Linked DNA regions of Caenorhabditis elegans. The protein of the gene in region 2 purifies or fractionates together with the protein of the main gene of each other region. This does not show direct contact. Each region holds a gene or a part of one and is shown on either strand. Other genes may lie near its edges. The genes, in order: srx-93 and fbxb-76.

Region 1 (3,935 bases), on a different chromosome or scaffold from region 2:
GATGGTCCTGTACCACATGTTTGTGCTTCAGAGCTCAGTGCTCGGCTCCCAGTTGTTGTTATCTCAAATTTTCTCAAATTTTCTGCGAAAAAAATTATTGGCAGAATTAAATTCAATTTGTCTGGAAAAAATTTTGGGAAATTCAAGTTTTCTGAGAAAACAATTTAGCGAAAAATTCAAATTTTCTATGAAAACAAATTTGGTTGGAAATTCGAATGTCCTGAAAAACAAATTGGTGGGAATTTAAAGTTTTCCACGAAAAAAATATTGTCGGAAAATTCGAACTGTCTGGAAAAAAATAGGTGGGAAATTCATATGTTCTGAGAAACAATTTTGGCGGGAAGCTCAAATTTTCCGAATTTTTTTGTGGAAAAATTTGGATGTTCGAGATGAATAAGAGAAATGTACAAAAACGTGGATCTCGGATTAAATTGGATTTTAAAAATTAAACGAAATACTAGATTAAAAAGCTAAAGGTTTTATAGTTTTAGTGGTTATAATTTATTTCACATTAGAATATGTTGTCACTGATGTCTGGCCTTGTCGAGGATGCCCACCACCAATTATTGGGAGCACTACTTTATTTCTCGTTTTGCTTCTAAGAAATGTCAGCTTTTCATTGAAAATTATCATAATAAATCTGAAACAAAATATATTATTAATGTACCAGTTCGGTCTCACCCATCAAGAGAATGTAGGCATTCCCAAATAAAAGTTCCACAGAAATATGTCCACACACGGCGAGTGCTCCAGGAACTGGAATTTGAAGTGCTTCAAAATAAACAGAGTTATAAAATCGACAAACCTTAGTTCAAAAGTAAAAGTTATATCAATAAGGTAAAGGGAATCTAGAAGAATTGTTTGTATAAAATTTAATATATTTTTCCGCATTCTTTTCTTAGCTTCTACAGCTACTTGTGAACTATTAGACTTCTGAAATCATAAAAAAATTAATTTGAATTTTTTTTCAAAAAAAAAATACTTTGTAAAAATGCAAGATCTTCAAAAAAGTGATAAAATTCAAAAATGCCGTTGTTATAAAAGTATATTTAATTACTTCTGGAGCACCATCAACATAGTCACAACCGGGAGCACTGCTGTACTTCCAAGCAAAATATTTTGTCGAAAATAATGTATAGCAACCTTTTGCTAAAAGTATTATAAAAATAACCTAGTAAATATGGCTTCATTTTACCCACCGGACTCTGGCAACCATTCATATATTTTCTGTGCAATTCTATAGAGATAGATTAGAACGAGTATGATTGTTGTATGAGATAATGAAAATATACGCGAATATTTTGTTGGAAAAAACATTGCACAAAATCTGTTAATGGCCATTAGAACAATTTGATACTCATTTCCAAGATATAAAGGGTGTGATGTATTGATGAACCAAGATTCGATTGCTGGTGGGTATGGAGAATACCCTCTGGAACTTTCAATTGTTCCATTATTGTTTTAAAAAAAGGTCTCACAATAAAGTTTTTGGTAGGTAAGTGATCAGAAAGATAGTTGTTAAAATTATGACATTTGATATAGCCCGAAAGAAACAAATGACATTAAAAGCGGTTTGTTCAGATTTTTCTTTGAGAAAAATGTAGACAATTAAGGAGTTACAGACCACACCGAAAGTTCCAATCTGTAGAATTTATATTTTCAATTTTTATTTACAAACAAATCCTTACCGTTCCCAGTAGGAATGCTACCACCAAGTTGAGGGGATCCGTATAGTTGTACTCTTGGGACATAATTCTGTAAGTTCAAGCATGTTTTTGTAGTATCATTTTAATTTTAATTTTACTTCTAAAGGGAAATGTTACTATTGATGCTAACAGTAAATCTGAAAAAGTGTTATTATAAAAAAATCATGTAATTTACAAAAATGTTTGAACTAGAATATAGTGAAACAGAGTCCTAATATATGTATATATCATTTACTATATATAAAGCGCTTATTCCGTTTGTCCATAGTTTGTAGTCTATGTAGTCTTTGTAGTCTATGAAGTTTTGGCTTCTGGAGGGATAGTGAGTTGGGCTTAGTGTAGGGATATAGTCGGGGTACTGTAGTGGTACAATAGGGTTACGGTAGGAATGCTGTATGATTACGGTAGTTTCAGAAAAATTAGTTTTCAGCCCCAGAAGTCGGGGGCCGCGCCGGAGGTGCGGTCCACGGCTGGTATATATATCATTACTTATATATAAAAAAATAATTCCGTTTGTTCCATAGTTTGTAGTCTATGTAGTCTTTGTAGTCTGTGACGTCACACCCAAAGTCACTGAGAATTGTGGGCGGGGTCTGTCATCCTTCGTGGTGAGACCCATCGTGGCGAGACCCACCGTGGTGAGACCCGTCGTGGTGAGAACCATCGTGGCGAGACCCATCGTGGTGAGACCCACCGTAGTAAGACCCAAAATTTTGGCGGGAAATTCAAATTTTTAGTGAAAAACATTTTGGCGGGAAATTCAAATTTTTAGTGAAAAAAATATTTTGGCGGGAAATTCAAATTTTTAGTGAAAAAATTTTGGCGGGAAATTCAAATTTTCTGAAAAAAAAATTTTCCAGAATTTTCTAGAAAAATCGTAAAATTTTGGAATGTTCCAGAACTTTCTTGAAAAATCAGAAAAAGTCTGTAATGTTCTAAATCGTTCTAGAAAATTCAAGAATTGTCTGAAATGTTCCAGAACCTTCTAGAAAATTCGACAAAACTCTGGAATGATCTTCTGGAAAAGTTTAGAAGTTCGTGGAGCGTTCTAAAATTTTCATAACTTTCTAGAATCTCTTTAAAAGATCAAAAGTTAAATAAATGCCATGAACTTAAAAATGTAAAAAATGACGTTTGCCAAAAACTTTCGGAAAAAAACGTGGATAAGTTTCATATGATCATATGACATGAAGAATATCTAGAAACGTTCAAGAAATTCAGAAGTAGTTCCAAGAAACTAGAGTTTTTTAAAGTTGTAACTCTTGAACACTTAGTCATATAATATTCATGTTGCTTTAAAAACATCTGGAAAACTGAGAAAAAACGTCCCATCTGCAGAGAAACGCTTAAAATTTCTAGAATTCCATTTTAATTTCGAGTAAGCCAGTCGGAGCACGCGCTTTAGCGCGTGCGAACGGCTGGTATATATATATATATATATGTACACATGCTTTCTTGTTTTCTTTTCGGTGAAATTATCTTTCTCTGTATTCTTTTTTGGTACCCACGCCTGCGTTTGTCTACGTATTGTGCGTGCAATGTGTATTTTCTAACGATTTTGACAATTGTAATAAATGAAATAAAATTATCAAAAATGAATTGAATAAAATGAATTAACTTCATTACTCTTCATATTCGCGAAATAAGAGAAATGTAAATAAAATGTTAAATTCGCGTTAAATGGGATTTTAAAATTAAGAGAAAAGCTAGATTAAAAAGTTTAATTATTTACAGTGTTAAAAAAATTGTTTCCATAAGAATATGTTGTGACTGATGTCTGGCCTTGTCGAGGATGGCCACCACCAATTATTGGGAGCACTATTTTCTTTTTAATTTTAGTTTTAAGAAATGCCAGCTTTTCATTGAAAATTATCATAATGAATCTGCAATAAAAAATATGATTAATGTATAGAGTTCGGTCTCACCCATCAATAGAATGTAGGCATTCCCAAATAAAAGTTCCACAAAAATATGTCCACAAACGGGTAGTGCTCCAGAAACTGGAAAATTAAAACCAAAAATTTAGATGAAAAGTATAATATAAACAAACCTTAGTTGCGCATTAAAAGTTATATCAATAAGATATAGGGAATCTAGAAGAATTGTTTGTATAAAATTAAATATATTTTTCGCATTCTTTTATTATTCTGAAATAACACAAAATTAGTTGATTTTTTGTTTGATTGTGATGTCCTTTTATTTTCTTTTGAAATTTCAGTTAAAAAATAT
Region 2 (3,880 bases):
AATCTAATCTTTACATGTACTAACTTTATTGCATTTGATCTCTTGAGCTAATCAGCTATTATTCAGCATCATTCCCTTCCCATTTTTCTCTACCCCATACACCCAAGTTTTCATGTTGTCATAATAATCTGATTTATTTGCATGCTCAACGATACCTTGAAGTTTAAAATTTTGTTAAATAAATCGTGCGAGCCCCAACTGTTCCAAAATAAAATGCAATCCTGTACCGATTCGAACCCCACAAAAGTTATAATAGATGTTTCCGTAAAAAATGCCGCTGTAAATGTGAAAGGGACGCAATTCATCTGAATGATTCTCTCGTATCAATCAATGATTGTTTGATATTCTTCTGAACAGTGTTCTACAAAAATGAAAGTAAACATTTTATAAATTTTACAGAAATTTGTAGTATCATTGAAAAGAAAACAATTGCTGAAAATAGAAGTTGACAAAATTGCTATTTGTTTCAGAGAGTTTTAGACGTATATTAATTTCAAGAAAATAATTTGAAGTTGAAAACTGAAAAGCTTGTGTGATTTGAAATGCAATTTCCAATTTTAGTTATTTTCCAGAAATCCCCTGAAAAATTTTCCTTGTAAACTTTCCATTTTGTGATCATTCAATCCATCTTCTTCACTTTCTTTATTCAACTTGCACCCAAGGGGGCACATTCTTTTGACTCACACCAATCTTTTGACTTTTTCTAACTTTTTTCTCTCAAAATTGTTTCCGGTTTTGTCGTTCCATTTGGATGTCTCTATGGAGTGTCGTTCATTGTACTTTTTTGTTTTTCAAATAATACTTCAACATTTTTTGATAAAAAATATTAACAAAGTTTCCGATGTACATTGCGAATGTTTCAAGTGCCAAAACATCAAACATATCACAAATTGTATCTTCGTCGCAATCAATCTTATTGAAGAAAATAGAAAGCTCTGGATGATGACCTATTTCAAGAACATGATCCAAAAATTGTCTCACTCCAAGTCCTGGATTGGTCCAAGTTTGTCCTTCACTAGTCTTCAGAATGAATTCACGTTTACCAGGTTGTTCAAGGACTTGGTTTATATCAAATGAGAAGAACGCGGACGCAACAAAGTTATTCCTATCGGCCCGAATATAAAATCGTATATTGTCTTCTAAACCCACCAGAACATCTCTCATTTTTATATTCAAATTCTCAACATGATTTTTTGCCGTTTGAGAAATGAGAGCGAATCCAATTCTGAAACAAGAAACTTTTTTTTTGCCTCCGGATAGAAATGATGTTAATTCTCATATGTAGAATAAAATGTATCTATTCTCTCGTGCTCTCTCACCCCACCAGTTGTCGATGGCCATGATCGAGTGCACTCGATAAAAAGAAACGGAGAGGCAGTATAGAACTGACCTCTCACAGGTGCAAGACTAATTTTCAAAAGCCCCATAACTTCGGAACAGTTACCAAATTTTATGGAAAACTTTTAAACCAATACAACCGTTTAAACCAATACATTATTTTCTAATACTTTATCCTCTATTAGAACAATTTTTGAGAAGTTTATCCAAAAATTACAAATTCGTTGAAGTTTCCTCATAGTCAAAAAAAAGGTGCAAGACTATTAGAGACTGCAATACTAATAGAAGAAATACGGTAGTTCCACTTTAATATTGGCAGCTATAATTATTTTACAAACGGCGTTTCTGCGACACAATAATATTTGGTTATTAGTGTGTCGTCAGGCGTATTTTGTCGAGCAACGTCTAATGATGCGTGACGTCATAACAAACTGGTGTCCCCATTTTTATAGGTCAAAGTGTCACACAAAAAACGGTGGAGGGTTTAAGAAGTTTTGGAAAACGGATAAACACAAAATTTCAGAAACTTACAATTCGGTTAAAGGCATTCTTCGAAGAACGTAATTCAGAGATTTCTCAGGTAGATTGAGCAGAGGAAAGATGCTCATTGTGTCAGAATAGGAGAACAGTGACTGTGTTACAATATTGAATGGAAGAGGGAGACTTATGATCTAACCCCATTATTATCCTATTTTCAGATCTTTCTTGCTTTTTCTCTTATCCTCTGCTTCTCTCGTAATGCCCACTCGAGTAGACAACGCGTTGAATCACTATAAAATTAGGAAGAACTGGGTCAAAGGCCACCTTTACGTTCATATTTATTGAAGGGGAATATTTTATTCAGTCAAAATGATGTTATATATCTTAAAAATATTAACACACAAGAGCCTAATAGCTTGCCGACACCGCCTGTAAATCACGAAGGCAGCTTTCAATCACTCACAACGAAATCACAACGAATGCATAAAAAACCATGCAACGAGATGGTTTAATTTAGCTCTCGAAATGATAAACGAAATTATAAAAAAAGAGGACTTATAGATATCTATTATTATCTAGAAACTCGTATATGGTTTCACTTTTGACAAATAGTAATTTCCCTCAATTTTCCCTCGAAAGTTGTAGAACATCATGCACCCTTTTCCTTTGTTTATTTGTTTCATCGTTTTCTATTTCTGATTCTCACATTTACTAAAATTAACTTCAATTGTCCTTGCCACAAAGTTTTCGTACGGACTTTTTCTCATTCCTTACGCGATCATCGACCCATTTTATTGCTGGCAAAGAACTTTGATTATTTGTATATTCTACTGAGATAACTTTCAAACTTTCAGTATAACTGTGTCCAATCATTGTTGTTGTGTTTTTGCTACAGAATAAATACAATTTGAAAGGCTTGAAGGAGAATATGCTTTGATCAATTTCAAATGAAAGCTCTTCCGTGGTTGCTTTTCGAAATAATATTAGTGATCCGGAAACGTCAGATTTCCGTGAGTGATGACACTATGTTCCAGATATAAATAATCCAAACGTCGAATGATCAAAGAGTGAGTGGAATCTAGTTATTCAGAGTGACTGGCAGCTGAAATTATACCTGAACTTTTCTGATTCTGGAATTGGTACGTATTTGGAATACTTTAAATGTCGTCTGATCAGTTTTAAGGTCACCATTCTAGTCTCCGTTTTACATTTTTATCTGACTATGAGTTCTGCCAAAATTACTAGCTTTTCATATTTTTCTCGCCGAATACAAATATTTAACTCTGCCAAAATTAAACATTTGGGTTTTCACAGTTGAAATTTGCATTCTTAATCGATTTCCATTTTTTTGTCTTATTTCTGAATTTTAGACTATTTTTGGAAATGTTAAAGCAAAACTTCATTCACACGTCCTCCAGCGTTTCCCAGTCAGGGCTTTCAAACAGAATATGTCACCCGCCTCAAGACGTCTTTATTTCAAAGTAAACAAATTATTGTCTTACAAAATTCAAATTGGTGTAAGAAAAATTGTATCCAGGTGAGAGCCGTAATCTTACTATAAACCTTCAACCTTCCAGAAACTTGAAAATGCAAGGCGTCATACATATAAATTCTAAATCAAAATGAGTTTGTTAATATAGTCTGTGTGGTATTAGAGTTTTGAGGATTTGATGTAAAGAGCACAAATCACATTGAAAAAGAGCAAATATCACATGAAAAGAAATTGAATTTAGATGGAGAAAGTTCATAATTTCAAAAGTCCCTTTTGGATAGGTTGAATGAGATATTAATGATTCAAAAATGGATCAGCTAGGCGATTCGAGTCATTTATATTTTCCATTCATTGAGTTGTTTTCTAATATTCTAGAAAAAGTACAGAAGAACAACTATTGATAGATAATTTAATTCGTTCTCATTTATCTCCTTTTCTTCTTTTTTCCAGTCCTCCCTCACATCATTTTCGTTGTTTTGGACCGCAGGTGGTCCGCTTCTGAAAGGCGTATCAATTAGATATTTCTTCATTTTCTTCTCATTCTGATGCTCCATATAACATTTTGTAGTT

What was found.
Region 1: the proteins of fbxb-76 (region 2) and srx-93 fractionate together in Caenorhabditis elegans (co-fractionation; one large-scale study listed by BioGRID). This does not show direct contact.

The regions. Positions count from the first base shown.
Region 1 is NC_003283.11:3,618,958-3,622,892, forward strand, and holds srx-93 (G-protein coupled receptors family 1 profile domain-containing protein), read right to left. Parts: upstream 1,752-3,935; coding exon 1,689-1,751; intron 1,643-1,688; coding exon 1,479-1,642; intron 1,433-1,478; coding exon 1,200-1,432; intron 1,150-1,199; coding exon 983-1,149; intron 934-982; coding exon 806-933; intron 757-805; coding exon 682-756; intron 641-681; coding exon 502-640; downstream 1-501.
Region 2 is NC_003282.8:11,377,403-11,381,282, forward strand, and holds fbxb-76 (F-box domain-containing protein), read right to left. Parts: upstream 1,953-3,880; 5' UTR 1,947-1,952; coding exon 1,870-1,946; intron 1,226-1,869; coding exon 772-1,225; 3' UTR 769-771; downstream 1-768.